6 separate regions of the Mus musculus genome follow, and all the other regions are reported to be linked to region 4. Evidence: microRNA targets listed by miRTarBase, many of them from high-throughput screens and not tested one by one. Region 4 holds a microRNA gene; each other region holds the end of a gene's coding sequence.
The links. Region 4 holds the annotated microRNA mmu-miR-467f (AUAUACACACACACACCUACA, at 1,758-1,778, shown strand). A microRNA usually pairs through its seed, bases 2 to 8, with sites in the 3' UTR of a target mRNA and lowers its output. Matches are read on the target gene's strand: a 7mer-m8 pairs with bases 2 to 8, a 7mer-A1 pairs with bases 2 to 7 and ends in A, and an 8mer does both.

Region 1 (5,501 bases), not on the chromosome of region 4:
GACAGCACTGGGCACTGGGAACAAACTAACCTACAGTATCGTTTGACACCAGTGTGACTATTATTCTAAGTGCAGGGCAGTGCAGAGAAAAAAAAAAGTTCTTTATTTCTCAAAATTACAAAGAAGGTACTGCATTAGCAGAATCTGTAGTAGACATCACCACAGACTAAAGAAACAAACCCAGCATCGTGCTGGAGACGGAGTTATCTTAGAAACCACAGCTTGTTAATGGAACAGAGAAAGCGTTCTGAGAAGAGTAAGGTCAAGGGCTGGGGGTGTAGCTTGGTGGTGCGTGCCGGCCGTGTATTATCAAGGCCTTGGGTCTGATAACTAGCACTATAAATAAACCAATGTAAGGAAACTTAAAACTTACATGGTGAAAAATATCAGCAAATGAAGCATGAGAATGTTTAAATTTGCCTCAATGTTATGATTTTAAAAATCTCAAAATTCAGGCTGGAGAGATGGCTCAGCAGCTAAGAGCACTGACTGCTCAACCAGAGGTCTTGAGTTCAATTCCCAGCAACCACATGGTGGCTCACAACTATCTGTAATGGGATCTGATGCCCGTTTCTGGTGTGTCTGAAGACAGCTACAGTGCACTCATATGTACAATAAATAAATCTTTTTCTAAAAAAATCTCAAATTACTCAAATTTAGAAGCTGAAAGAATTTTTGAAACTGATAAAATGTGCACAAACCCTCTAGACCTACATCTTATTTAGAGGAAGAAAAAAAAAACCAAACCTGGCATTAAGGTCTCGCGTAAGGAGGCTTTGTTCATTTTTCATTCCGATAAAGCAGCGGTCCGTAACCTTACCAGTGTTGCAACCCTTTTATGCAGTTCCTCACGTTGTAGTAACCCCCAATCATAAAATTGTTCTTGTTGCTGCTTCATGAGTGTAATTTTGCTACTGTTGTGAATCATAATGCAAATATCCGATCTGCAGGATATTTAAGATATGACTTCATGAAAGGGTCATTCAACCCCAAAGAGGTCACGACCCACAGGTTGAAAACCACTGAGATAAAGTAACACTTGGGGCTCTGGTTAAAAGGCATGAAGCAATTAAGGAAAAAAAAAAGTTAGGGACAGAAGTGCGGAAGCATGCTGCCAAACTTTCTGACCTAACAACTGTGCAGTCATTTTTCCAGTCACAAACTGGTAGGCGGGAGATAGCATAACTAGTAAGATGCTAATTGGCAAATAGGTTGTACGCAGTAAAGAGGTGGAGCGGATTTATATATTCGTGCTAGCGGCAGTCTTTAGGGATGACATCAATCATTTTCAGAAGGCTTGGTCAGGATAACGCTGCTGGCCACCGGCTCCCTGCATCCATGCCTGTGTACAGCAGAACCGTAGGCCAGCGGCGATCCTCATATTTGCCAGAAGGTGGCGCTCGGCCTCCACGGCGCGACCAGCTGCAGTTAGAAGTCCCCTCCAAAGGAGCCACTTTCCCCCAGGCTGAGGCTGATTAGAAGTCATTCACGTGTCGCTGGTTGTCCAGCGACCCTACAGGTGCTCCGAAGGGGCCTGCAGTTCCGATGGCACAATTGTACTTCAGGGTCAAATCCCCAAAGCCATCCGAGGGGAGAATGAGATCCGGCAGACGTGAAGCTGAGGACAGGCAGGGTTGGGGCAGCAACTTGTTCTCTCATACTTCTCTCCCGCTTTGTGTGCGTGTGTGTGTGTGTGCGTGTGTGTGTGGCGGGGCAGAAGGGTGAGGGTGGGTGGGATGGCAGAGCGCACCTGGGTTGGCCCGGTGTGCATGCAGGGGCTATAGTAGGCAACAGGTGACTAGTGTATTGGGCGGCTGCCAAGGGCTCTCGCTCGCGCAGTCTCCAACCCAGGTGTAATGGGCAAAGCGTGCATCCCGGGTATATTCATTAGGGACAACCCCGCCCTGCAGGAAGGAGGCGGGGACCACCGGAACCGAAGCTGCCCCTCCTCCATTCACCAGGATGGATTCGGTGTCAGGGGAGAGGAAACACCGCAGCCAAGGCAGACTAGCAGGCGCCACCCAAACACCTGCTTGGCCTAGAAAGTGGCACCAGGTGCGACTCACATACTCGTACCTCTTGTCCCATCCTTTCTCTAGGCTGTGCCTGTCTTCCCTGGACTACTTTCCAGAACCACCCCTTCCCAACCAAGTCACTTGCAACTTGGGAACTAAATCTAAGCACCTATTGAATGCATATTCAAATTAGCGGCCCGGTGTCCTCAAGGCTCTGAGTTGGATGGAAATGTTGGTGATACCTTTTTTTTTGGTGAGTGGGAGGGGCTTTTCTCGCACCTTCCCTCCGTTCCTTGAGGTCCAGAGTGCAGTCAAGGGTGAAGAGCACTTAATAGCCACAGAACTGGGAGAGCAGCTGGCCCAGGCAGGCCTGGGTGAGCCACAGGTGGAGGAGACGAAGGACTTCTGGAGTTCGTGGCCAGGTTTAAAAGCGTAACCCCCAGGGGTGACCAGTGACAGCCAAAGCCCCTTTTCTCTCTGCTCCAAAGGTGTCTTTCTAGAGGGCACACCTAGGAACTCAAGGGGAGTCTTCTACAGTCCCGTTTAAAATCTAGTCCCAATGCACAGGCACAGAGCCACACTGCTAGGTGTGTTGCGTTTCCAGTCCCCATCCCTCCTAATGGCAACAATGTTTCAGTCTACTGGGCCGCCACGGGACACACATGTGATAGAGGGGGTGAGAGAACAGAAGGAGGTGCCCCAAGCAAACACAAGACACCTCAAAAACCATTCAGAATCCCGGCATTGATGTCAGACACATTTTATTATAATCTTAATACAGTCTACATAAATTTGAACTGGTATTTATTTGGGTTCAGTTATAACATAGCATAAAAAAAATCAAAGCACTGGTTGTCTGAAATAAAGCAAGCAATCAACATTCAATAAACACACTTGATTTATTTTGTATAAAAGGGTTAAGTTTACAACTAAACTTTTATAAAAAGTTTAGCATAAGTACGTCATTACATTTTAATGCAGAAATAGGTTATTTCTGCCACTATACAAGAAAACTCTAATTAAAGAGTCCACAAGGTTCACTCAATATATATATATTTATATATAAATATATACACAGCATTCAGTAGGCTCGTGTCAAAAAGGCCATTTCTGACCGAAGACTTCATTTAAGTAACCGAATACTGGGTCCTTCTGGTATTCACGCTCCACCTTTGTGAAAAGGCAAAGTCTGCTTACATTGGGCAATTCCTTGTGATTTTTTTCTTTTTTTTTTAACGTTTTCGCTCCCCATGGTGGGAATAGTATATAAAGAAAACCTTCCAACTGTAGAAAGGGCACTGAAAGTCTCTCATAAATAACGGTATCACAGTCCAGGCCGGAGAACGACACCTGGGCAAGACGATCATCCTTAGTTTTCCTTCCGCTTTCTTTTTAAAAAGGTCCATTCAACGTGTTCTCCTGGTGAAATGGCTGATAACAAAAGTCTTAAAAGATCTTGTAGACTTCTTCTTGTGCAAAAGAAAAAGAGAAAGTAAAAAGAAAAAAAAAAGTCCCCAAATGCCTGCAAAAGATTGGGAGAGAAAGGCAGTTTAGGAGAATGTAACCTAAGGGCAGAGGCGGGCGAGCCTGGCGCCGAGGAAGCCACAGTTTGAGCATTTAACCAAACCCTGGCGTCCAGATGCGGCACACATACCCGGCCCCAGCAGCACAAATTAAACATGAAAATAGCGGAGACTCCAGGGGAAAACTTCCCAAACCCAGTCTCCTATTTGGATCTCTAACAGCCCGCTCACAGGCGCCAGTCTGCTTCTTGTAACAATTATTTGATTGAAAACAGCCCTTTAGTTAACAGATATGGAAATCTGGATCCCAGAGCACAGGGGTAAGGCTCGGGGTAGCCGTCTTCAGCTAGCCAGAGAAATCTCAGAGGACTACAGTTTTGGGAAAAGAGAATCACTATGGAATTTGTGGCGATAAGATTAATTACAGCTGAGGTTACCACCTCAGTGTACCGCCACTGGGCTCATAAAAGTCAGCCACACTTGGTCCTGACACCTTCATAGTAAGTTACTGGCATTTCTTTTCTTTCTTTTTTTTCTTTCTTTTCTGTTTTTGTAAAGGCAACTGTTCTGTAGTCCTGAGCAACCACAGCTACAAGCCCCTTCATGCCTATGTGGTAAGTCAAGCGGCACCCGTAACACAGTGAAGTAAGCATGCATTTACCAAACCAAACATTTAACAGACACACAAGCACATTACCGAAACGCGCACACAGGAGGCACCCGCAACACTCACCATTTATTTAGCCACAGAGTACTTTGCTATCATTCGACATAAGCTCAGAAGGGAATTCAGATGCCTGGGGAGAAAGAGGATAAAAGGCAGGATATTAGGTAATCTTAAAGGAAGGTAGCCCCCCTCCTCCTTTCACAAAAGTGCCAACAAGTCCCATGAAACAGGATCATGCTACAGCGCAGATCCAGATGCAACCCACACAGAACTTATAAGTAGCGATTTCACATGACGCTCAATATACAGTTTCCTCAAAAATAAAGTTAATGAACCTGTCTCTACGATGGGCTTTAAGAGTGACAGCTCGGGAGACCCGGAGCGTCTGGGCAGTGGCGTACTTGCAAGCTAGTCTCACCTGCAAGGACAGGATGCTGATGTCCGTGTTCAGGGTGGTCAGCGGCGTCCTGGACGCCTGGTTCTGTCCAGGTCTCTGGTGATGCAGGCTGACGATAGTGGGATGCGAGTCCAGGGCGATCTGCAGGTCCAAGATGTAATCGATGACGTGCTGCAGGATTTCCATCTTGGTCACCTTCTTGTTCTGGGGGATGCTGGGCACCAGTTCCTTGAGCTTGGAGTAGCAGTCGTTCATGTTGTAGAGCAGACTCATCGGGTCGTCCACCGGGGTTTTGCTCCGGGAGATGCCCAAGCTGTGGTCCGACAGGCTGTTTTTCCTAACGGACCTCACCGGACTGAAGGCTTTCATGCTGCTCGTAGGAGGAAGACCGGGAGGGAGCCGCCACAGGGGGCTGAGCTGACTGCGCGGCACCAGGCTCGGTTCAGAATGAAGCGCGAGCCGGGCGGGGCGTCTTTTATGTGCACTCGCCCTGGCCGCTCAATCGGGCATCCCTGAATTGCCATTGGTGGAAGGGCTCCCGTCCATCATACCAGGCGAATTCTCCCATTGGTGAGTATGAGCTCTCGGTTCTTCCGCGTTCGCAGCCAATGCCTGTAGGGTGGGAGGAGCGGGCGAGAGCCCAGCTGGGGTGGCAAATTGAGTACAGTGTGCGCTGGGCGCCCAGGGGGCCTGAGTGTGCAATTGTGCCCGCCTTATTCCAATTCCCAGAGCTGGCAGGACCCCTGCCCCGGGGGTGTGCCCGGAGCTAGCTATACCCGCCCCCAGGACTTCCAGCAGCCCCACTCTCTCCGCACAGCAGACGGGAAGTCACAGGTCGCTAGCGTTAGGGAAGACAGCGACCGTGGCAGAAGGGAAAAGAAGCGCGCTTTTGGGAAGTC
Region 2 (5,501 bases), not on the chromosome of region 4:
GGTGTGGTAGTTCATCCCTGTGACCTCAGTTACAGGAAGATTGAGTCAGGAAGATTACTGCAAGTTTGAGGCCAGCTTATGCTATAGTGTAAATAAATACTTGTCTTCAGAAAACATCCCTTACCTGAAATGCTTTGGATCGAAAGCATTTCAGATTTTGGAATATTTGCACATTTAAGAGGTATTTTAGAATGGAACCCTAATCTAAATGTAAACTTCTCTTTCGCTTCTTTTGTATTTTATGCACATTGTCTGAAGGTGATCTTATAAAAGACTCTGAACATGCCTGTCTTTTGACTGTGACCTGTCACATAAGGTTGGGTGAGAGGTTATACACTTGTGGCTTCATGTCAACACTCAAAAAACTTAAGATTCTACTGCTTTGGGACCTTTTCTGCTTGCAGTTTTTTGCTTTTGCTGTTGCCTGTTGGCCAAGAGCCTCACTTGTGCTCAGCTTGTGAGCTACAGCTCACCTGGGCTCAGCTCTACCTGTGAGCTACATTTCCAACCTATACTGAATAATTTTAGACAGAGGATGTTCAGCTTATATAATTGAGAAGTTTTGTTCTAATTGTCCCCTTAAATACTGTTTCAAGCTGGGCCGTTTTACATACATACATAAAGTCATTTATTTATACACACACACACACACACACACACATATATATATATATGTGAAAGTAGGGAAAGAAGCCAGGAATGGTCTGTATATAGGATATACATGTTCCTGTGAAGAAGGTCTCGACAGGCGTGGTTGTGCAAGCCTTTAATCCGAGCACTAGGGAAGCAGAGGATGACAGATCTCAGAGCATGAAGCCAGCCCAGTCTACAGAGTGAGTTCCAGAACAATGAAGGCTACAAAGAGAAACTGTCTTCAAAAACAAAACAAAACAAAAACTCAGTCATGTTTAATCGTATCTGACTACTGTATATTTATATTTACTTTCTTGTTTCTTTTCTCACAGCTACTTCTGAGTGGAGGAGCAGACAATAAATTGTATTCCTACAGCTATTCCCCTACCACTTCCCATGTGGGGGCTTGAAAATGAATGGCTGAGAAGAGACTTCCTTGTTGGGTCTTGTCTTAATTCTTAGTGTCTCACTGTTATTTCATAAACTGAATCAAATTTGAGAGAGGACTTATAGTACAGCTCAGCTGGTAGAATGCTTGCCTAAAATGTGCACAGCCCTGCATGCTATCTCCAGCACTGCCCAAAGAAAAATGGGCATGGTAGCACATTCCTGTAATCCCAGTCCTAGAGGTTGGAAGCAAGAGCATCAGAAATTCAAGGTCACCCTCTGCTGTATAGTGAGCTTAAAGGCAGCCAGCCATGGTTCCCTGAGTCTCTGTCTCCATAAGAAAGAAATCAATGGATAATCCTCTGATATCATTGTCAATGCAGAGACAGGAAGCAGCCTTTTAAAATTTGGATAACAGTTCATCTTTCATAATAGCAACATTTTACTGTCTTTGTCCTTCGTGCTTATAAAATACAGTAAGTATGTGGTCTGAATTCTGTCTACATTTTACCCTATGTAGACTCCTAAAACTTGAATTTCAGAAAGTATACTTTTTAAAGGGATATAGTACAAATGTAGTAAATTTGTTTTTTTTTGTCTTTTTGTTTTGTTTTAGTTTGACTTTTTAGTTAGCTATTTGAAGAGAAACATCTAGAAAAGACTAATAATGCTATAGGAGCCAGGCATCATAGCACACACTTATAACCCTAGCATTTAAGAAGTAGAAGCAAAAGGCTTGGGACTTGAGTAGGATTGGCTTCATAACTAGTTCAAGTCAGGAGCAGGATGAGACTCGGTCTCAAATAAAGAAAATGAAAACTTATAGGAGGGTCATCAAAATGGCTCAGTGACTAAAGATGCTTGCTGCCAATTCTGATAGCGTGAGTTCAGTTCTCAGGTCTGAACTCCTGCAAGCTGTCCTTTTCCCCACACACATGCACACATACTGTGGCATGCATACAACTAACCTGTAAATAAATTTAAAGAAAAAAGAAGTTTATAAAAGTATGGGGAAAACAGTCATCTAACATTAAAAGCAAATAGTAAAAAACAACAACAACAAAACACCACACACTAAAAGGTAGTGTGTATAAGAAAATAAGACTGTTGAGTGTTCAGAGCATTAAAACAATGTAGATGTTAATTTGTCCATTCATTGAGCAGCAGGGCAGTGATGGTTCACATCTTTAATGCCAGCACCTGGGAAGCAGGTGGATGTCTGTGGGTTCAAGGATAGCCTGGTGAGTTTCAGGACAGCCAGGGATAAACAGAGAGACCCTGACTCAAACGCAATAAAAAAAAAAAATAGTCTTTCCTGACTTAACTGTCTAGGCTGATAATGCAGTACGTAATGAGTAAGATTAAGGTAAAAAGGCTGGGTTGGAGGGGCAGCTCAGCAGTTCAGAGCACTTGCTGCTCCTGCAAAGGACCTGGATTCCATTTCCTGCATCCATTTGGCAGCTCACAGCCGTCTGAAACTCCATTTCCTGGGATTCAGACATTTGGCCTCCTGGGCACCAGACACAAATGGTACGCATACGGCATTCAAGCATTCCGAAGAACAAAGGTGAGGAGGCCCATGTATCAAAGACAAATGGAAGAAAGGGTGTGGCATCTGAAACTGGCCCTTTACCTAGTCTTAATCTCAATCCTGGTTCCATGGCAACCTTATTTCTGTTCAGGCCATTTCAACAGGGAAGCCCGAAAAGCCAGGGGCCAGGTATCATTGACGAGGATTGTATCTAAGCCTCTTAATCTGCCAAACTTTTCTCCTTCGGGCTATTTAAGTGCTTAGAACTTAGTCCCTAACCAGGAAAGTAAGAGGCCAACACAAGACTAAAGGATCTAGCCATCTTTTAACATGCTTTTCTTTTTCTTCAAGCGTTGTCTTCCTCTCCATGGTCCCTTTCCTTCTAGCAGAAACAGGCTTTACAAGTTTGTTTCTGAGGTTCACCTGGACCTGCTCACCTATCGCTGGGATAAATTGGAGTATAGGGATTATTTATGCTGTCTCATAGGAATGGAGTCTGTAATACATCGAGACTGGATCTCCTACCTAACCAATATCTGTTATTAGTGTTTATAATAAAACTCCTCAATTTAAAATTAGGCTTAGGCAGTGGAGGATAACTTAGTGATAGATATCATTAGTTAACATGTTTGAGGCCTTGTGTTAAATAGGTGTGCTCACACACACAAATTTAGGCTGAATATACCTAATTAAGTCAATTAAAGGGAAAAACTGAATTATTCAACTCCAGAATGTTGTTAGGGAAAAGGCACAAAGTGAGAGGCAGACATTAGAAGTTAGCCTCACTGGTGTCCCAGTGCAGAGAAAGGAAGACGAGGTAGTAAAAAGGCTGTAAACAGCGGTGGGAAGGAAGTCAGCTGTCAAGGATCTCATGTTGAGAGGCAGCTGAACCACATTTGGACAGGTGAAAGAGGGGGCAGGTTGTTTCCAACTGAGGGAGAGGCACAGAAAAATCTAAATAGCTTGAATACCGTTAGAACATAAGTGTACATAATACTTCATACACCAGGAAATTTTACTTCCTCTGAAGCCACCTTTAGATTCCTAGAAGCAATAATATTTTATCGTGGAAAATACGAAAAGAAAACCTTGCTTTACCTGGAGAAGACCCAGTGGAAGCAAGGCATTTAAAATTTATATTTTATGTAGAATACAGAAAATACCCTCTTAGAATTCCATTTGGAACTTAACAACTATGCATAGCCATATATCTATGCCTTCCAGGCTCTAGGGAAAGAATGACTGTTTAATATGATGTGTGACCCAGTCCGTGGGTCAGTCAATAGGGTCTGCAAGAGAAAGAGTGGGGACTGAGGAGCAAGGGACTTGAAGAATGGAGACAACACAGGCTATCTGCTCAAGGTTCAAGTCTCCTGTCTCATTTATTGAAAGGCAACTATGGGTAATATATGCACTCACTGGGTAGTGATATGTGCAGCTGGAGACACTTAACCACAGGTCCAGGATGTATAGGAGAAAAACAAGATGTTATCAGAGTGTGTACAGCTGTGGTAGGCTTGCAAAAACATGCTAGGAAAACAAGTCTCTCATCACAGTGGAAAAGTACCACATGTAAGTAAATTGCCCGAGATGGCTGCAGAGATGATAGCAGCTTTCTGCTAAGAGTCGGCTCCCAACAGATGTGCACATAATTATACAATTAACCCTGTGTCTTGGTGTTTGTTTTGGTTTTGTGCTATGATAAGATCCTACAACAAAAGCAACTTATGAAATATTTAATTTGGGACTCAGAATCATTAACTGTACTTCCAGGTGATCTGGTGATCCGATGCATACACATAAACACAGGCAAAACAATCATTTAAAATAAATCTTTAGGGCTGGTGAGATGGCTCAGTGGGTAAGAGCACCCGACTGCTCTTCCGAAGGTCCGAAGTTCAAATCCCAGCAACCACATGGTGGCTCACAACCATCCGTAACGAGATCTGACACCCTCTTCTGGAGTGTCTGAAGACAGCTACAGTGTACTTACATATAATAAATAAATAAATCTTTAAAAAAAAATAAATCTTTAAAGAAGGAAAGATCACAATGGGCATGGTGTCCAAGGCCTTTACTCCAGCACTCAGGAGTCCAAGAAAGGTCTATCTCTGAGCTTGAGGGCCACTCTGGCCTACAGAGTGCCTTCCAGGCCAGCCAGAGCTACATAATGAGACCTTGCCTTAAGGAAAAAATCCTACCACCAGCTTGGATCTCATTTGTGGAGCCCCACATCCCAAGTCATCTTACCTTCTTTTCAGTTGTAAGAACCTATGAGAAAGGATAACATTTTTAATAGTATAAAAGTTTTATGTTCATGGAAAAGTAGCAATTGTATATTCTTAATTCAATCTCATGTAAACATTTTAAAAGTGTTAAATCCTTTATTTTCTAAAAATGAGTTTTGGGGGCTGGAGAGATGGCTCAGCGCTTAAGAGTGTTTGGACTGCTCTTCTGACAGTCCTGAATTCAAATCCCAGCAACCACATGGTGTCTCACAACCATCTGTAATGAGATCTGATACCTTCTTCTGGGGTGTCTGAAAACAGTACGTGTGTGTGTGTGTGTGTGTGTGTGTGTGTGTGTGTGTGTGTGTGTGTAAAGGCGTTTTGGTTGGTTTTGTTTTTGTTTTTTTTAAGCCATGCTGCCTTACTTTTTGGTTGTTTTTTGGTGGTGTTTTTGTTACTGTTTTGTTTGGGGTTTTGGTTTGGCTTGTTTGTTTGTTTTGGTTTTGAGGTGGTTGGGTTTGTTGGTGTTGTTAGTTTGGTTGGTTGGTTGTTTTTTTTTTTTTTTCCCAGACTGTTTCTCTCTGTAGCCCTGGCTGTATAGACCTGGCTGACCTTGAACTCACAGATACCTACCTTCCTCTGCCTCCTCTGCCTCTGCCTCTGAGTACTGGGATCAAATGTGCACACCACCACACCCAACTCTGCCTTGCTCATTTCTTAGG
Region 3 (5,224 bases), not on the chromosome of region 4:
TTCTAAAGCAATACAGCTAGGATTTGTGGTGGTTGACTGTGAGTACGGAGAGAGGGGAAGGGTCACCCAGGAAAGTTGGGGGCTTTCGTACAGAGCATTTGGGATTGTTTTACAGCTTAAAATTGAAGTTGCAGCCAGTATTTCCATGGTGACCATCTAAGACATAGCAGAGAACTCCATTTCGGTTTTGCATTTCCTCTAGGAGATCATCCTGTGGAGAAAAGCACCCGAGAAACTGAGAAAACAGAGGACGAACTTTCACCAGCGGTTTGAATCTCCAGACTCGCAGGCCTCTGCGGAGCAGCCTGAGATGTAAGCAGGTGGGCAGAGCAGCAAGTGCAAGAACCGGGCCAAGAGAGCAGCTCAGCTGGCTGACGACAGTCGCAGCGTGCGGACATCCCAACTCCACGTCTGCTAGTCTTCCTTATCCTAGAGTGCTGCGTTTATTTTACAGTATGATTAAAGGTTTTGTGTATATACATTTTAAAAAGTGCTTCTTGGAAACACTGGAGAATTCCTAAGCTGCCTTTTTTGTTTTCTTTTTTACTGCACACTGATAAGCACTCAGAAGCATAAACATTAAGGATTTTCATGTGAGTAGACTGGTATTTGTAATTTTGCTTTCTTTATGCATAATGTTGAAAATCCTTTTCTCTGTTTTCATGCTAATGATTACCTCTTATTCTCTATGTGCAAAAAATTAAATATTTTTGTTCAAGTAAAATGAGAAAAACCTGAGCAGCCCTTATGTCCTACAAAGTTTTAAGGCATGGCTCCTCAGTATTTTTGAGAATTGTGTTTATTTTTACATGTGGATCAGAAACCAACCTGGTGTTACATGGTAGGCACTTCTGGGTCTACCATTCACAGCCTCCTGAATTTTAATCTTTGGGATCTCTGAGGTATATGAAAGATTGTCACCCCAGGGATGACATGGTTTGTCATCGTGGCCCTCTTGCCCCTTATTGACCACGTTTGCTATGACTTTCTGTATCATCATGTAGGTTCTGCAGTGTGGAGTTGACACATTGGCATTTTAGAACTTGTTAAACCTGTATCATTTTTTTTCCATAAAGACTTTGAAACATGTATATATTTTTTAATTTAAGGACTACTTTCCATGTGTATGCAAATCGTCACCTAGGAATGAGAGAGCTTGGGAGAACCAGCCGAAGTGTCCATAGCCGGACAATTTCTTGTTAACTGGAATATTGGCTAGTTCAAACTTGACTTCACGTAGTCTATTTAAAAAAACCCGAACCAAACAGAACAAAAAACACTAAATTCATACCATTCTCTGAAAAGAAGGCTGCAGTCAGCTGAGCACAGACACACAACTGAGGCGTATGGGGCAGGAGGAAGCCTGTGTGGGGGCCACTCTCACTCAGGGCTTGTTGGTTTCTGTACCAGTGTTCCTTGATACACCTCAGTACAGGTTTGTCAGTTAACTTTACTTTCTAGGAAGCTCAACAGCCCAACTTATGTTTCCTTAAACCTATTTTTTACTATGATGGCACTTTGATAAAATGGCCAGCAACCAGCCCTGGCCAAAGGTTCACATACCACGTCCTGGAGCAGCTATTGTCAATGTGGGTTTCTAAGGACGGCCATGTTCTCCTTCATGTAAGTGCCTGTTCAGAGTCTCAAAGTTTCAAAATGCCAAATATTTTCATGGTCACTTGCATGTATAATCTAGGAAATATTCAAGGAGATTTTGAAAAACAATTGTATTTAACCAGCCTCAAGTTGTGCAACCATGATATATAAAATAAATAATTTGAAACAGAAACTTAAGTTTGTAGTTTAAATAAAATGACTTTATTCTCAAATCTTGTCATTACAGCATTGCCCAGTGGTTAGGAAGACAGTCACAACAGTGAACTTTTATTAGTAGTACTAGCTTCAGGTTTGTTAAGGTTTTGTTTTGCTTTGTTTTTTTAGGTTTTATTTATTTTATATGTATTGCTGTTTTGGCTGCAAGTATGTCTGTGCAGGCATGTGGGCAGTGCCCAAGGAGGGCAGAAGAGAGCATTAGATCTCTTGGAGCTGAAATTACAGGTGTTTGTGAGCGGCCATGGGGGTGCTGGGAACAGAACCAAGGTAGCCAGTGCTGTTGACCACTGAACCATCTCTGGGTTCTCCAGCTTCAGTTTTAAGTAGTTATATAATGCTTTTAATTAATTTGCTTAAAACTCATATAAAATGCTTATTCATTCCATTTGATTCTTTTCTGATGCATAACCAACTTAAAATTTGGGGATTTCAGTCAAAACTTGATAAATAAAAAAGTTAACTATAGGCTAAATCTGTTTGCCCCCTGCAGAATATAGTGTCATAGATAATCTCAATCTTAGTCACATGCCAGGATCACTTCAGGAGCTTTAGAAAAACGGTCACACCTAGATCTCACCTAGACGGTAAAATCAGACTCTAATGGGAGTTGTGCTGCATACGTATAGTCCCAGCATGTGTGTTACAGAGGTAGGAGGACTACCTCAGGGTCAGCCTGGTCTACATAGTGAGTTCCAGCTTAGCTAGAGCTGTGTAACGAGACCCCCATCTAAAAAAAGATTGTTTTTCATATATTGGGGCATTAACATAAAAACAAGATTATCCAGGATTGAAGAGACAGTAATCACATTTCTTGTTTTGTTTAGGTTGGTCTCTACAGCCAGGACTGATCTCAAATTCACTATATAGCTGAGGATGACCTTAAAATACATTTAAGAAAACAATAATAAAATAGGGTTTTGTAGTCCAGGCTAGCTTTGAACTTACACACCAAGATGATCTGTAACTTGTGGTCCTCTGTCTCTGCCGCCCTGTGTTGGTATTATAGGCTTGCACCACCATGCCTGGTTTACATGGTGCTTAGACTTCATGACCCAAGGCTTTGAGCATCTTAAGCAGCATGCTGAGCAAGCACTCTGTCAACAGAGGCTAACTCTAATCCGCCCCTCTACCTCCTGGTTTGTTTATGTCGGGTTAACTGCTGATCATTTATGAAAGCATCCTCCAGTGGCATATACCTCTGCAGAGACTTTACAGATTTAAAGTTTTTCACCCTTATGCATAGTGAGGAAAACAGGTACCTTTCTATTTTTAAATACTTGGATGTTCTGAAAATCTTAGTACTTGGCTTCTTACATCATGGCCAGATTCTACATTGCAGAATACATCTTCACCCTAGTTATGTCCAATTCCATACACCTTGCTCCACTCAAATTCTAGTAAGGTTGTCCTGGGAACCTCAGTTTTTTGTTTGTTTTCTTGGTTGGAGTTTTTGTTTTGTTTTATTTTGTTTGAGACATGGTCTCAGCATTTAGACTCGGGTTGTCTAGAACTCTTTGTAGACCAGGTTGGCCTGAAACTTGAGACATACTCTTGAGTCAAAGGTATATACTACCATCACTTGGCTTCTTCTTCTTCTTTTTTTTTTTTTTTTTTTGATCTCATTTTTTTTAAGTTCAACATTGGGGAAGGTGGACAAAGAGAAAGAAAAGAGGAAGAGGAGGGATGTAGAGTTAATTGGGGAGGGGTGGGGGAGCCTGGAGTAGGGTGAGAATTGTAAGGCAGAGGGAGAGTCTTGTTTCCAAGGGGGGTGAACTAACAAAGGGTTCCAAAGGGGGGGGGGGGGTGTACACTCCAGACTAGGAGAGTGGGAGAGTGTTGGAGGGCACAGATTCTGAGCCAGGCATGGGGATTTTGTACAATGGTTAGCCAATGGTCAATATAAAGAAACAGATTGAGGTGTTCTGGGGTCCCTCTGACCTTTAGCCAGATGGCTTGGGCAGTGGTGGGGTCCAGGGAGCCTGCTGCTGGCCAGCTTACTTTACATGAAGGCCAACTGACCTCACAAAAACAGTTTTTCCTTAATGAGGGTAACACTGTAATTTTCTCTAAAACTGTGGGGAGATTTAATACTGCATCATAGGGGAGACTTGGTTGGAATAGTTGGTCCCCATTATGGAGAAAAGTTTACCTAACTCTGGGAATCAAAGGGTCAAAGGGACCAGACTGGAGAAGGCAATACTGAAAACGAGCCTCTTTGAGTTGAGCACAGGGAGGAGGAGATAGGCCCAGGAATGTACGTGCTTATATGGCTGGAGAACTCTTGTTCTAGGAAGAAAGGAGGGAGAGTAGGCTTATAGACAAAAGACAGAGGATAAAACTTACTGGAACTGTCAGTATTATCCCAGGGAAGGGATTAATACTGCTCATGTAACAGGTGAGGAGGGTAATGGGTTGCTCCCTGAAAAGCAATGTGATATACCCCAGGTTGCCTTCTGGTTGTCACTAAGTCAAAGACCAGCTCTCCTATCCTTGAGACAGACAACAAGAGAACTCTGTATACTTCTCCTCCCCTTCACCCACTCTCTGAAAGCCCTTTCTCTATCCACCCCTCAATGGTGACTCCCTGGCCTTAGTCCCTGTGGACAGTGAAATCGCCAAAGAACAGCTTTCCAATAAACCTGCCTTTACTATAATCTGGATTGATTTGGCTCATTTCACCGGCAGAGAAATAACCTATCAGAACTAAGGTGATTTATCAGATCCTGAGAGTCTTCAGAAAACGAGTTCACCAAGATGTGGTGATGCATGCCTTTAATCCTAGCACTTGGGAGGCAGAGGCAGATGGGATCTTTGTGAGTTTGAAGCCAGCCTGATCTACAAAGTGAGTTCCAGGACAGCCAGGGCTACAAAAGTGAAACCCTGTCTCAAAAAACAAAACAAAACAACAGAAAACCTAAACAAAAAGAAGAGAAAGTAAGAAAAGAAAGGTGTAGTCTCCCCTCCCCCAGCCTGAAACCTGCTTGCTCAGGGGTGGAGCTTCCCGCTCAATCGTTCTGCCACGCTCACTGCTGGAACGTGCGGCTTTGCTGTTTGGAGCCACACACGTGATCACCCTGCTACTGGACCCCGAGATTATTTGGCGGGAATTGGGCCCCCTTCCCCTGCTTTATAACTGAGTGCCGAAATAGTAAAAATTGAATCTTGAGCAGAGAGCTTTGTCTTGGTTCCTTCCTTATCTCGCGCAGCCCAGCCCCTCTTCTCTTCCAGGTTTCCAAAATGCCTTTCCAGGCTAGAACCCAGTTTGTGATCTACTGGCCAGACACAACAGAAAGGTTCTGAGGTTTTCATTTGTAAAGGTTGATGGTTGAGCATTAACAAAGATCATCGCTGTTCACCTTGGCCTCTGCTCCCCTCCCTTGCACATTCAACG
Region 4 (4,000 bases):
GAAGAAAAAAAAAAAAAAAAAAAAAAAAACACTAGATAGATTAGATAAGGGGGGTTTGGCTAGAATATAGTTCCGTGTGATGTGTGCCTAGCAAGTATAAAGCCCTGATTTCAATCCTCAACATCAAAAGCAGTAAGAAAGCCAGATGCTTCAAAAAAAAGGCTAACAATATTCAAGGACCAGCCCTAAGTACAGTAACTAGGATAGTGGCAGAGCTTAGGAGAAAATGTACCAATAATATTCTAGAGAATACAGAGTTCCCACCTCACAGACCTGGCCAGTCACCACTTACAAAACTATTCTTTCCTTATAATGAGAACATCTAACCCTGAATATTGCTTCAGATACGACCTGCTTTGGCTGTTTGGGGGGAGCCTGAGGCAGGAGGGTCTAAGAATTGGAGGTCAGCTTAGGCTACGTGCTAAGTTTCAGAGTAACCTGAGCTATCAAAGTATAAAAATCCTGTCTCTATATGGGGAGAAATGTTTTTAAAAATGAAAGAAGGGAGGAAGGGAAAGGGAAAGGAAGAAAGAAGGAAGAGATCGGAGGAGGGCTACCTGGCTGAGGATGTACTTCAGTGGAAGGCTAAGATGAGACCTCAAGTTCAAGGTTAGCCTTATCAACAAAGCAAGGCTATACAATAAGACCCCATCTTAACAGGTTGGTGGTGGCCTAAACCTTCCAAGGCCAGCCTAGCCTACAGAGTGAGTTCCAGGGCAACACAGGATATCCTGCCCCCCACCCCAAAAAAAAACAACAAAAGACAGAGGCAGGCGGGTTTCTGAGTTTGAGGCTAGCCTGGTCTACAGAATGAGTTACAGGACAGCCAGGGCTACACAGAAAAACCTTGTTTCAAAAAACAAACAAAAACAAAACAAAACACATTATGAAGCTGGGGTTGATGGTGTGCACCTGTAATCCCAGGTCTTAGGAAAGGCCACAGTAAACCAGGAGTCCAAGGTCATCCCGGGTTAAAAGCCCAAGCCACCTGAAACCACCTTAACAAAACACATCACATCCTGACAGAAAAGCCAAGTTTGATAGGATAATTCTAAAATAACTTAGACCTCAGATCTGATATTTACTGGCTCTAGAAAAATCACAGTAAAACAGTTTTGTGAGAGGAGAAAAGAATCTCCCCAAACGTAAAAGATCTAAAAAGTTAGTATCCCTTACTCACACCAAAGTTTGCTGAGTCATAAATATTAATCAGCAAGGTTTGAATAGGTAAGTATCTACATTACACTTAGGCAATGTCTTTAACTCAGTCATGGAGCAGAAAGTGCTGAAGTGGCCAGAATACAAAATCTACACTCAATATTTGGCTTTTATTAACTCTATACTATCAAAGAATCCTGTCCCTGCTTCCCTCAAATCTATCACTGCTCTGGCCCACAGAATAAAAGGATAAAAGAGAGACTTTCTGTTGGATACCCATATGTGTAACAGAATTCATGTCCCAGCCCAACCATGTCATACAGTTAATTGGAACTGAGCACTCATCTGTCCCAGCTGTGCATGGCTCCTGAGCTTCCTTAAACCAAATGCAAATATCTTATCTTGATCTCATACTCAATTTAAGAACCACTTTTCAAACTAAGAGTAGTTGTGGATGCTTTTAATCCCAGCACTCAACAAAGGCAGACCTATCCCACAGAGTTTGAGTTCAGGGCAGCCACGGCTACATAGAGAAATCCTGTACCCAGAAATCGAACGGGGGTGGGTGTGTGTGTAGGTGTGTGTGTGTGTATGTATGTATATACACACACACACCTACACACAGCTTTTTTGGAATTTTTAACATTTTGATGTTAGAAGGATACAGATGAAGACTAACATATCGAGGAAAAGAGAGCATAATAAAGAGTACTTTTTGGGTTTGTTTGGGTTGTTTTAGACTGGATTCCATTCCCCATGCTGGTTTTGAACTTCAACAATCCTACTTTAGCCTTCTAAGTACTAGGGTTAGAGTATGTACCACCATACCCAGCCTGAGGAGACTGTTTTAACAAAGGTAATACAAATGTGGGTGAAATAGATATTAAAACATTAATGTGTCCTCTCAGAAGCCAAAAGAATTAAAGACTTTTGCTACAGAAAACAGAAATGTTAGAGACACTGTTCTGGTCTGAAGAAAAAGTACCAAGAGTTAGGAAAGTGACAGAATCAGCTAGGAGCCTTCTTCAGCTATACACAGACTAGACAGGTAGACATCATCAAGGATACACAGGAATACAGAAATACCAAGCTAAAAAGACCGAGACTTAGTTGAGAAGCTGCATTAAAGCTAATAGGTATGTGCACCCATAGGCACTGGGTAAAGAACTTGATCAGAAAAGGGAAAAAAATGGCCTGGCCTTTATAATGGATAACTAGCATATCAGTTGAAGTGAGGGTAGGAACCATCTACAGGGGTAGGGCAAACCTAAGTCTTTTTTCAGCTACAAAAAAGATACAATTTCATAGTAGAGTCAGAGAAAGTTATTTCCAAGGGCATAAGAAAGTAGAAGTTCTACTAGGGTAGGGGGACAGACAACCTGAGGAAACCTGAAGAAAAAGGGGCTCTTCTCACCCATCTCATGCTATGGAAATTCCTCTTTCTCTCCAGGATGAAGAGTAAGAGAGGGACCAAACGTGTCCGGGACAATTCCACTCATAAAAGTCAAAAGATGTTCAGAACCCCACTGATCAGAAGAAGAAAATATCTGGGGCGTGGGATCCAGAATAGACTCAGGACAGATACAGAAGATGGGGTGGGTGGTGGATAGAAAGAAGGAAAAAACAAAAGTCTGGTCTGGCATGGTGGCTCAACCAGTAACGCCAGAGCTGTAATCCTAGGCTGAGGAAGAGTTCAAGTGCAGCCAGGGAGGGGATCTTGTCCCAACCACACCCCTTAAAAAAGTTCACAGGAATCAAATCTTAGGCAAAGAAAAAGCTGATTAAAGAAGCAATTCTGAAAGATACTTTTTTTCTTTCCAGAAGGATTGTCAACAAGCAGAAATCTGTTAGAATAAGAACTTGTTGAGATGGCCTTTGAGAGACAGTGAAGCTTAAACTTACCAAGAAGATAGAGGAATGACCTAAATATATCTAGAGTCAAAGAGATAAGCGTGAATCCATCCCTCATAGGTGATTTTGGAATATAGGTGTGGTGGGTGACAAACTTGTCCAACAAATCCACTTTATGGCTGGCTGATAAAAACCTGAGGCCAAAGATGCTAATGCTAAATAACACAGATGGGTTTTGACCATTTCTTGTCAGCCTGGGAACAGGAATTTAAGACCAAAAGTTGAGCAAATGGTCTAGAGCCAGTAGGCAGAAGGCTCCCTGAAGACCTAATGTGGGACAGTGGACCTTCCCAAGGGGGTCATGTAGGAAAAGAATGCGAATCCTCCATGTGCTTGGGCTGCAGGGGTGATGTGATTAAAAGCTGAAGTATCGCCTACACTAAAAAAAAAAAAAAAAAAAAAAAAAAAAAAAAAAAAAAAAAACAAGAAAAGTCGATTAGAAGCTAGGAAAAGGGCTTTCTCCAAAGGGACCCGGGGCTCCCATCCCCGCACAGGAATGACCTGATGGCCATGTTTTCAGCTGATAAAAGCAGGTGTAACAGCGAGCTCAAAATAAAAGCACGAGGGTTAACTCCCACGATCGCCACGGGAGGGTTTCGAGTGGGAACGTGGGTCGAAGGTTCTAAGGGTCAAGACCAAGCTCCAGAAACTCGATCCCGCTCCACTCTTCCCTGCCTCGGCTGGGGGAGGGGGCTAAGGAGGGTGGCCCGGGTCGACGCGCCGTCTCACCTTGTAGAAGGCCCCGTTGGAGCCCCGCACCTCGACGGGCAGTCCCGGCTCCACATCCCCCCCAGAGGCCAGGCCGCCCATGGCGCCGCCACCACCTCCGACTGGCCCGGCAGCAGCTGAAACAGAGCCCTGAGTGCGGGCCGGGCCGGGTCCCCGGCGTCTCCCTGGAGGAGGAGCCGGAGGGGGAGCCGCGGGGGGCGGG
Region 5 (5,297 bases), not on the chromosome of region 4:
TATCCCAGCTCCTGAGAGGCTGGGACAGAAGGATGAGGTCCAGGATGAGTATCCAGTTGAGGATAAATAATAGCAGGTTCCACTGGGCAGTGGTGGCACATACCTTTAATCCCAGCACTTGGGAAGCAGAGGCAGGTGGATTTCTGAGTTTGAGGCCAGCCTGGTCTACAGAGTGAGTTTCAGGACAGCCAGGGCTACACAGAGAAACCCTGTCTCGAGAAAACCAACCAACAAACAAAAATAGCAGGTTCCAATTCTGCCTCAGTATGAAACTACTTCAAAAAGCCAAAATAAGTCCGATGGACTCAATAATATTGCAAGCCAATGGGGTGGGTGAGGGTGAGAGGTGGGTGGCAGGCAGCCTGTCCAGCTGTGGTTAACAGAACTCTCTCACACTGTTTCTATGATTTCTCACCCTGCCCCCCAGATGTGGACGTGACCGGACAGAACTGGACTTTCACGTTTGACTTCTCTTTTTTGAGCCAAGAAGAGGATCTGGTATGGGCGGAGCTCCGGTTGCAGCTGCCGGGCCCCATGGACATACCCACTGAGGGCCCACTCACCATTGACATTTTCCACCAGGCCAAGGGGGATCCAGAGCGGGACCCCGCTGACTGCCTGGAGCGCATTTGGATGGAGACGTTCACCGTCATTCCTTCTCAGGTCACGTTTGCCTCAGGCAGCACAGTCCTGGAGGTGACCAAGCCACTCTCCAAGTGGCTAAAGGACCCCAGGGCACTGGAAAAGCAGGTGTCCAGTCGAGCAGAAAAGTGTTGGCATCAGCCCTACACCCCACCTGTACCTGTCGCCAGCACCAATGTGCTCATGCTCTACTCCAACCGGCCTCAGGAGCAGAGGCAGCTAGGGGGCGCCACTTTGCTTTGGGAAGCTGAGAGCTCCTGGCGGGCCCAGGAGGGACAGCTGTCTGTAGAGAGGGGCGGATGGGGCAGAAGGCAACGCCGACATCATTTGCCAGACAGAAGCCAACTGTGTAGGAGGGTCAAGTTCCAGGTGGACTTCAACCTGATTGGCTGGGGCTCCTGGATCATCTACCCCAAGCAGTACAATGCCTATCGCTGTGAGGGCGAGTGTCCTAACCCTGTGGGGGAGGAGTTTCATCCTACCAACCATGCCTACATCCAGGTATGATGCTTGGCTGCTAGATGGTGTGTGTGTGTGTGTGTGTGTGTGTGTGTGTGTGTGTGTGTGTGTGTGTGTGTTCAAGCATTGGGAGAGGGCGCTCTCTCTATCTAGTTCTCTCTCTAGTTCTCCCTTTCTCCCTCTCCTCTCCCTCTCTCTCTCCCTCTCTCCCTCTCTCTCCCTCCCTCCCTCCCTCCCTCCCTCCCTCCGGCAGTCCGTCCGTCCGTCTGTCTGTCTCGTTACATGGCCCAGGATCACCTTGAACTGCTGATCCTCTTGCCTTCACACCCCTCGTCTGGGATCACAGGCATGCACTATTACAATACTGGGGATCAAATCCAGGACCTCGCCCATGCTAGGCAAAGGACTGAGCCACATCCCCAGCTTTTCCCTGTTCCCATAATTAGGTGATGGGGAGGGAATAGAGTAGACCTCTGCTCCTCCAGCTCTGACATTCAGAATTTGGACTAGGCAAGTCTTCGCGATCTAGCTCATTACTCATTACATTAAGCTGCTTATTTGCTGAATGCTATCTTTTTCGAGGCTGGTAACATGTTTCACAGGCATGGCGCGCGCCCGCGCGTGTGTGTGTGTGTGTGTATGTGTGTGTGTGTGTGTGAGGTGGGGGGGGGGGTTCGTGAGCTGGTTCCATGGGCAGCATTCTATTTATGAATGAAAATAATTTCCTATTTTTGTACCAGAAGCTAAGTTTTCACTTTAGCCAGAAATAGTAACTCTGCCTTTGCCCCAGCAAATGCAAACTGACCCTCCCTCCTTCCTCCCTTTCAGAGCCTGCTGAAACGATACCAACCCCACCGGGTTCCTTCCACGTGCTGTGCCCCCGTGAAGACCAAGCCACTGAGCATGCTTTATGTGGACAATGGCAGGGTCCTCCTGGAACACCACAAGGACATGATTGTGGAGGAGTGTGGGTGCCTCTGACAGAGCCAGGGGGAGTGCTGAAATTGGCTTGCATTCCACAATGCTGATGAACTCCAAGGAGACTCCATTGTGTCTATCCAGGGAGCAGAAACGTTAGAAGAGTTCTGCCTGCTGGAGCTAAAGAGAAAAGCCCCGCCCCCTGTGCATACAGTGCTCTTAGACCTGCCAAGCCAGAGAGAGGCTACCGTGGCATGGCAGGATGGGGAAGCCTTGCAGGGGCTGGCTCGCTGGGCTCCCTGGAAATAGGGTTTATGAACTGCTTGAAATTGTGTGCAAAGGCTGGGGTGTATATATATATATGTATATATATATATATGTATTTATTTTTGATGCCATCTGTAACTTTCTTGTATTCTCAAAAGTGGTCTGTGACCTGCTGTCCCTCCCTCAAGATTAGTATATATTTTATTAGATTATAAACGAGCCATTTGGTTCTCCCTGCCTCAAGCTGTGGTAGGGAAGACCCACAACCTTCTGGCTGGCTGGCAGTGACATACTGGCCTTGGTCAGGGGCTCTCTGATCTCTAATGACTTGCCTAAAAAAGCCACTGTCCAGTTCTCCAGGGCCAGTTGGTGCCTTTGACCAGAGAGGTGGGCACTTGTCCAAGAGGGGACTGGCCATGGTGGACTTTAGAAGCCAGAGTCCTGAGATGTATGCTTGGCAGACACAACCCAAGTCTATTAAAAGTCTGTGACAATTCACCTCTGTCTCACAATGTGTTTCTAGGTTCCTGAGTTCCGATCCAGCAGGGGATGGGCTTGTGGTCTTAGCTTTTGCAGAGGTTATGTGAGGTGTGGGGAACTCACTGCCTGGCATCCCCTAGTAAAACAAAAAGTGGGAGAGCCTGATGCATATGTGGGAAGTGCCTCTGAGAGCTTGGGAATGACTGGCCTAGTAGCAGACACTTGCTTAGTACACGTAGGACCCTGAGTTAAACCCCAGCATGAAAAAGTCAGGTGTGTAGTGGAGCACACCCTTAATTCCAGCAGTTGAGGCAGAGGCAAGCAGGTCTCTGAGTTCTAGGACAATCAGAGCTACACAGTGAGACCCTGTCTCAAACAAAAAGCTGCATGACAGGGAGGGCCATGGGGCTTCATGTCCTCTAGGCCTTCTCCATCTGAGTCTTTCAATCCTTAAAGTTTAAGGCCTGTTAGGCCCGGGTACCCTAACTGCAGGTTCTAACTGCAGGTTCTGCGTGGCATAGCAGGAGGCTCGGCTTGCAGTAGAAAGTTCTACCACTGAGACATCTGAGTATCTCTGTTCTTTTGGCAAGGTTGAGGGGTGGAATTGAAGTCCACAGGAAACACCCCCTCTCCCCTTTCCCAGGATACTCATCCACTTTTGTTCCAGCTTTGGTTGAACCAAGCCAGTGAAACTGGTCCAGAGACTGGGCTGGCTACAGCCTAGCCTGGGATTGAGAAAGCTAAACCCAGGAGCGCTGAGCAGAGAAATGGGCTCAGTCACCACAGGGTTCTGCCTTGGGTTTTGAGTCAGGATCTCTCTTTAGTCCCGACTGGCTTCAAACTCTAGGCGATTCTCTCTTGCTTGACTCTCAAATGCTGGGATTACTCACCTCTACCAAGTGTTGACTTCCAGGCCTCAGGTCCACTGTGGAGTTTAAGTTCTTGGAGGGAAGTGGCCTCCCAGGACACTGGGAAGCAGGTGCCTACAGTCCCTACACAGCACGACAGGGCCAAAGGCCATGGTTATTTGTGGCTTCAGCTTGTGGGAGTGTTTACAGTTGGCTGTTCTGTGAACTTGGGACAACAAAGCTCCCTGGTGACAAAGCACTGCCCTATGTCAAGTGGGGGATAAGGACACAAAGTGACCACTTTACACGTGCTGATTGTGGTCACCATGCTGGCTGCAGGACCACCATGAGGCCCTGGCCAGGGCTATCTGGGTATCAGTTCCTAACAATGGTTCTGGATCTAGTCCATGGCTTGGCTGAAGGCCTTGGACATTTCTATCTGAATGTGGGCCTGCAATAGTTATTTGCTCCCAAGGCAAAGGTCTGGTGTTCTGCAACTGCAAGCAGGGCCAAGAGGAAACTGCCTTGCCTTCCTGGCAGACAGTGGGTGGGTAAGCAGTAGCAGAGAAAGACAGTAACCAGAAGAGGGAAAGCACACAGGAAAGCACACAGCTGTGACACTCTGCACTCTAACCTGGGTTTATCGGCACCTTAAGAACCCCCTTATACAGGGGGCTGGAGAGATGATGGCTCAGCAGTTAAGAGCACTGGCTGCTCTTCCAGAGGTCCTGAGTTCAATTCCCAGCAGCCACATGGTGGCTCACAACCATGTGATTGTAATGGGATCTGATGCCCTCTTCTGGTGTGTCTGAAGACAGTGACAGTGTAGTCATATACATTAAATTAAAAAAAAGAAAAACCTGTTATAGTAGGAAGATCTCCCCCTGCCTTCCCCCCACCCCAGAACCCACCCCTGCATGGCGGCTCACCACAGGCTGGCAATTCTCTCAAACCCAGCTGAGCTTAACATATTTTGAGAAGAGTCTCACAGTGTAGCTGGTCTGGAACCCACAGTATTACATACTGCTTCAGCCAAGCAAGTGAAGGGAGTGTGTATCACTTGAGGTTTTTTTGTTTTTGTTAAAGATTTATTTATCTATTTATTTATGTATGAGTACTCTGTAGCTGTCTTCAGACTCACCAAAAGAGAGCATCGGATCCCATTACAGATGGTTGTGAGCCATCATGTGGTTACTAGAAATTGAACTCAGGACCTCTGGAAGAGCCGCCAGTGCTCTTAACCCCTGAGCCATCTTTCAAGCCCGATTTGATTTTTTACAAGAACCGGTTGTACTGGCATTAGGCATAGATGCTCCTGACCTAAAAACCTGTAAAATGATTTCTTCATTCTGATAAGATCTAAGAACCATGTCACGGGCAGCAAAGCTCCTGAACAGCAAGGCTGGAACTAAGGCTCGAGCAACCTAACCTCCACACTGTCTTTTGTCTTCTTCTTAAATGATTGATTTATTTTATATATGAGCACACTGTCACTATCTTCAGACACACCAGAAGAGGGCATTGGATCCCATTACAGATGGTTGTGAGCCACCATGTGGTTGCTGAGAATTGAACTTAGGACCTTCGGAAGAGCAGCCAGTGCTCTTAACCACTGAGCTATCTCTCCAGCCCCTTTACACTGTCTTGACAAGGTAGGCCTCCTTTCTCTGTGGACCTGTCCAT
Region 6 (5,501 bases), not on the chromosome of region 4:
ACCTCGGGCGCCTACCGGGGGGACCCGTCCTCGGTCAAGATGGTCCAGAGCGACTTCATGCAGGGGGCCATGGCCGCCAGCAACGGCGGCCATATGCTGAGCCACGCGCACCAGTGGGTCACCGCCCTGCCCCACGCTGCCGCCGCTGCCGCCGCTGCTGCCGCCGCTGCCGTGGAAGCCAGCTCACCGTGGTCGGGCAGTGCGGTGGGCATGGCCGGCAGCCCCCAGCAGCCGCCACAGCCGCCGCCGCCGCCGCCTCAGGGCCCCGACGTGAAGGGAGGCGCTGGACGCGAAGACCTGCACGCCGGTACCGCGCTGCATCACCGCGGACCGCCGCACCTCGGGCCCCCGCCGCCGCCCCCTCACCAAGGACACCCTGGGGGCTGGGGGGCCGCAGCCGCCGCCGCCGCTGCCGCCGCAGCCGCCGCCGCTGCCGCTCACCTCCCGTCCATGGCGGGTGGCCAGCAGCCGCCGCCGCAGAGTCTGCTGTACTCGCAGCCCGGAGGCTTCACGGTGAACGGCATGCTGAGCGCGCCCCCGGGGCCCGGCGGTGGCGGCGGTGGAGCGGGCGGTGGAGCCCAGAGCCTGGTTCACCCCGGGCTAGTGCGCGGGGACACGCCCGAGTTGGCGGAGCATCATCACCACCATCACCACCACGCGCACCCGCACCCGCCGCACCCGCACCACGCGCAGGGACCCCCGCATCACGGCGGCGGCGGCGCGGGGCCAGGGCTCAACAGCCACGACCCTCACTCGGACGAGGACACGCCGACGTCTGACGACCTGGAGCAGTTCGCTAAGCAGTTCAAACAGCGGCGCATCAAGCTGGGTTTCACCCAGGCGGACGTGGGGCTGGCTCTGGGTACGCTCTATGGCAACGTGTTCTCGCAGACCACTATCTGCCGCTTCGAGGCCCTGCAGCTCAGTTTCAAGAACATGTGCAAGCTCAAGCCGCTACTGAACAAGTGGCTGGAGGAGGCTGACTCGAGCACTGGCAGTCCCACCAGCATTGACAAGATCGCAGCGCAGGGCCGCAAGCGCAAGAAGCGGACCTCCATCGAGGTTAGCGTCAAAGGCGCGCTGGAGAGCCACTTCCTCAAGTGCCCTAAACCCTCGGCGCAGGAAATCACCAACTTGGCCGACAGCCTACAGCTGGAAAAGGAGGTCGTGCGGGTCTGGTTCTGCAACCGACGCCAAAAGGAAAAACGCATGACGCCCCCTGGCATCCAGCAGCAGACGCCGGACGATGTCTACTCGCAGGTGGGTACCGTGAGCGCTGACACACCGCCACCGCACCACGGGCTTCAGACCAGCGTGCAGTGAATGCCGGGGCGCAGCGCGAAGAGGGCCGCCGCCGCCGCCGCCACCTCCGCAGCCGCTGTCAGCACCGCCATGGTCGCCGTCGCCGCCGTCTCCGAGCCGCCGCCGCCGAGAACCACCGCTGCTGCTGCTGCCGCCGCCGCCGCCGTCACCGTCGCCGCCGCCGCCGCTGCCGCCGCGCAGACCCAGCACCTGGCCAGTGCCAGGGCATCTAGGCCTCCTCCCCTCCGCCCAAAGACAGGCGTGCCACGGCCCCAGGAGGGGGGAGGACAGCTGGAGACCGATGAGACTCTTTCTGAAGTCCAAGAAAGGAGGGACCAAAAAAATTTTTAAGCATAATAAATACCAAGACTGTTTTATATGCATATATAACAAACAAAACCGGAAGAGGAAAAGGGGCAACAGGGACATCTCGTTTATACTGTGGTGGTGTTCTGCTTCTGTTTTGAAAGAAGGGTGAAGATGCCTAACGCACCTAAACTGCACACTTGAGGTACTGTCCACACCGAGATGTCCTGCATGGCGTCGTCGGTGGAGAACACCTGCCTCGGAGATAAGAGAGAGACACCCCCCCCCTCTTTCTTCCACTTCTTCCAAAAGGGCTGCCTAAAAGATCCATGGAAACTTTCTTTATGGGGAGCGACCTGAAAAGAAAGACGCACCAGGTTTCCTGCAGGTCTGACTCTGCTCTTGGACAGTGTTTTTCTTGGCCATATTCAAGTCTTTGGGGAACAAATAAATCAACTAAGAAATGGGAAGAAGGGAGAAACAGAGTCTGGGGGGGAAGATTCGCCGCTTCTGAAGTTCACAGACTGAACAAGAAAGCCAAAAGAAAGCATCCTCCGCAGTAAACTTGGAAATAAAAGCATCGCGAAAGAGCCAAGGCTGGGTGAGGCTGAAGGGTAGGTACGTCCAGCCGCAATCCACTAGCGGAGAGGGCACAAAAGCGGGGCCCGGGCCCAGCCTCTGAGACCGCCCACAAGGGCCAGGCCTCCACCACCAAACCCGGGCTTTGCTGACTGCCGCTCGGGGTGGACCATGCCTAAAGATTCCGCCGCTAATATTTTTTTTATTAACATTTTTTATTTTTTATTTCTGGACTGACTCCGATAAAAGGGTGTGGAAAGACAGCACCAACCGCGCACTTCCCTTGACTTCTGCCCTCAATGCGTTGCCAACTTTGATTGAATGGGTGCTGCGGATGTGATTATGTAATACTGCCATTTCCAAGCAGTGTTTTTGGTAGGTTTTAATAAACAGACTTTTCAAATGACGGCAATATAGAATCGTTAGATCCGTTGTTGATCTAAAAATATTTGCTTTATATTTTCATTAAATGACTTCTTTTAATATTTTATTCAAAATACTTATGAACTGCTGCAAAACGGTAATTTATTTTTCCCCAGATCTTGTATTACGTGTTTTTTTCAGACGAGCACAAATCAAAATGAAATGAAAATATGGACAGTTGTTAGGTAATAAGGGTATCTTTTGATGTGATCATTTGATTGTAATTTAATTTGAGTAGTGATTCCGTAAGAGCTGATTGAGAAAATAAATTTGTTAGAATGAAATGGTCTGTGTCTGATGCATAAACACTGTGTGGGAAGAAAAGAATCCTTTAGAAAATATTTTTTTACTAATGCAGACCCTTAAGTCATAGCATTAAGAGAGCGGAGCTTCCCCACGCAAAGGTATGTTTGAAACCTCCAGAACAGGCTAGGGTTGCTAAAAGGAGTTGCTTTAGCAATAGTGGTTATTCACTCCTTGTTGGTCCATAAATTTCACAATATTCTCCTTACCCTCAGTTTCAATGGGTGTCTCTAGTGTTTTTGCTGAGTGATCTATAAATATTAGCCATTTTCTTGAAAGTACCTGTGTTTTGCTACATCACCAGTGAAAATATGCCCACCAGCCAGTCATGGTAAATACAGTTCCTCTTAGGTCAGCCTCTTTTTGATCACCTTGCCTTCCAATATATCCCTGTTTTTTTCTTTCTTCCTTTCTTTTCCTTCCTTCTTTCCTCTCTTTCTTTCTTTCTTTCTTTCTTTCTTTCTTTCTTTTCTTTCTCTTTCTGTCTTTGTGGATCAATAGTTGCGAAGGATAGCTTATAAATTCATGAAATATTTTGATATCAGTTACTCCCCATTGATAACTATGTGTGATTAAATTTCCATTATTAAGCCTATATTTGCTTTTCTTCCTATATTTCTTTCATGAAAGATGATGGTACTGAGCCCTGCTTTGCTCTGTGCTGAGATTGTCCCTAGCGCAGACTCCAGGCTGCCCATTTCTGTGGTTTGGTCCTTCAGAGGCATAGTAACTCTTCATCTTCCTTACCAATGCCTAGGCTTTAGTTATTTTGGTCACTTTTTAGATAAGACCCTGCAGGATGGTCACATTTATCAAGTTGATGCATCAGTATTTACAAGCTGGAAATACAACACCTCAGGGTATGAGAGATAAAGAGGAGAAAGGCTCTGATTGGTTGAGTCCTTGTATTGTATGTGGTTTTTTTTTTTTTTTTTTTAAGTACTTAGGTGGAAAAACAATGATTTTTACACAGGCATTTCCCCCAATCTCAGCTACCATTCACCTTTTGCCTAATCTTTGCTGGCTTCCCCTCCCCCAATATAGATTCAAGGGTTAAAAAATTCTGGGAAACTATGAGGACAAGAAATAGTTTCTCACAGACAGACCCAATAGCACAAATTGAGCCCAGCCAGACAACCATGTATTTGGGTTGCATTATTTTAGATACCAAATTGTAGTAAAAAAAAAAAAAATCACCAGCATTCTGATTCATGAAATCTGGAAAAGGCCATATTTATTAAACAGAAAGACATGAAGGTACAGATAAGAAACCACATTTTATTTTTCTCTTTGCTTTTGTTTTCTGTTTCTCCTGTTATTGTTATCACACTGCCTGGAGTTGGGGTAGGGTGAGAGTCATCATCTTTTTATTTGTTTGTTTTGTTGTTGTTGTTGTTGTTGTTGTTGTTGTTGTTTTAGAGGCTCTGAGGGTAAGCCAAGAAGGCCTCCCTGAAAGTGAGGAATGGGCCAGGCTGTTTGTAAATGGAACACATCACTGGTGTGTGACAGGGATCTTGGTGGGTTTTTGTTTTTGTTTTATTTTTGTTGTTTGATTAAGGGCGAGGTTTTGTTTTGTTTTGTTGTTTGTTTGTTTGATGTTTTGTTTTGTTTTCCTGCTGGAATGGTGGTGCCTGACTAGGAAAGGAATGGGTCTATTTTAAATGCCAGGAGGTATCTGCTTTCTTGATTTAGCTCATGACAAAAGAGCTAATGTTAGATTTTACCCTGTCTTCTATTTGCTGGTTACTTTGGAAGAAGCCCAGATCTATGGGTAGCAGAGTACGTTTTTGATTGAAGAAGATAGGCAAACCAAGCAGTTTTGCTTGTCATTGTGTGTTGTGTAAAGTAAGCTGACGCTTGCACTTTTTGTTTTAAAGTCAATCCTTTGAATGTATTTACAAAATGAAATTGATGGTTGAAACACAGCAGAGAAGATATGAGAGTTTTTGTGCTAAGGCTCATATTGTTACACATGTAAATAATGAACATATTGTTGTATATCACCAGGTCTTTAAAAAAAAAAGAATTTGGTCATTGTGTTCTTATGCAGCACAAATGTCTTGTGCTTCGTAAACTGCCCATTTGTTTCCTCCATTTCAGACTGCCTACTCTTCCCCTTCCAACCCAAAGGAAAGTGACAAAGTTCTGGTCCATCAGCTTGGCTACTTTCAAACTAGGCCCAGTTATAGTTTACAGTAGAGTGTGGCTCCCGAGCCACTATCCAAGCTTTGATCACCCCATCTACCCAATCACCTTCCCCTGACAAGTCTGTACAATAAATAATTCAAGGTGTATTTAAAATATTAGTCACTTTGCTGTTGTTGCTCTGCGTTTTCCCTTCTTAGTATTAGCTAAGGGTTATTCCTCCTCTCTCTCTCTCTCTCTCTCTCTCTCTGTCTCTCTCTCTCTCTCTCTCTCTCTCTCTCTCTCTCTCATTGATCTTAGAGACTCCCTCTGCTTCTTCCTGGCCTCCAGTGTTTGCTCATTACCATACTCATGATCTGGTTTTGTATGAATGGTTTTCAACATTCAGAGAATAATTGGTTCTTATATCAAATGCAGTATATACTATTCATAGTTTTATCAAT

Region 1: miRTarBase lists Id2 as a target of mmu-miR-467f. Seed matches in the 3' UTR shown: 7mer-m8 at 3,085-3,091.
Region 2: miRTarBase lists Wdr12 as a target of mmu-miR-467f. Seed matches in the 3' UTR shown: 8mer at 2,107-2,114.
Region 3: miRTarBase lists Vps26a as a target of mmu-miR-467f. Seed matches in the 3' UTR shown: 7mer-m8 at 471-477 and 7mer-A1 at 1,685-1,691.
Region 5: the mRNA of Nodal is a reported target of mmu-miR-467f. Seed matches in the 3' UTR shown: 7mer-m8 at 2,367-2,373.
Region 6: the mRNA of Pou3f3 is a reported target of mmu-miR-467f. The part of its 3' UTR that is shown has no 7-base or 8-base seed match.

What each region holds. Positions count from the first base shown.
Region 1 is chr12:25,091,040-25,096,540 of GRCm38, forward strand. Id2 (inhibitor of DNA binding 2) reads right to left here and starts at 5,053. Exons shown (of 3, transcript NM_010496.3): 1 at 4,624-5,053; 2 at 4,272-4,335; 3 at 2,760-3,537. The coding sequence starts at 4,971. The coding sequence ends at 4,279.
Region 2 is chr1:60,073,706-60,079,206 of GRCm38, reverse strand. It overlaps Wdr12 (WD repeat domain 12), which reads left to right. Exons shown (of 13, transcript NM_021312.5): 13 at 966-2,339. The coding sequence ends at 1,043. Among named protein-coding and RNA genes, the nearest start is that of Wdr12, 21 kb to the left of the region's middle.
Region 3 is chr10:62,451,837-62,457,060 of GRCm38, reverse strand. It overlaps Vps26a (VPS26 retromer complex component A), which reads left to right. Exons shown (of 9, transcript NM_133672.3): 9 at 203-2,218. The coding sequence ends at 316. Among named protein-coding and RNA genes, the nearest start is that of Supv3l1, 4.7 kb to the right of the region's middle.
Region 4 is chr11:69,633,197-69,637,196 of GRCm38, reverse strand. Mir467f (microRNA 467f) reads left to right here and starts at 1,678; the gene lies at 1,678-1,797. Fxr2 (fragile X mental retardation, autosomal homolog 2) reads right to left here. Exons shown (of 17, transcript NM_011814.2): 1 at 3,799-4,000. The coding sequence starts at 3,879.
Region 5 is chr10:61,422,555-61,427,851 of GRCm38, forward strand. Nodal (nodal) reads left to right here. Exons shown (of 3, transcript NM_013611.5): 2 at 428-1,143; 3 at 1,930-2,784. The coding sequence ends at 2,082. Among named protein-coding and RNA genes, the nearest start is that of Nodal, 7.2 kb to the left of the region's middle.
Region 6 is chr1:42,697,317-42,702,817 of GRCm38, forward strand. Pou3f3 (POU domain, class 3, transcription factor 3) reads left to right here. Exons shown (of 1, transcript NM_008900.3): 1 at 1-2,894. The coding sequence ends at 1,323. All of the region lies in intron 1 of Gm46091 (predicted gene, 46091), which reads left to right. 2900092D14Rik (RIKEN cDNA 2900092D14 gene) reads left to right here and starts at 3,020. Exons shown (of 1, transcript NR_027891.1): 1 at 3,020-5,501.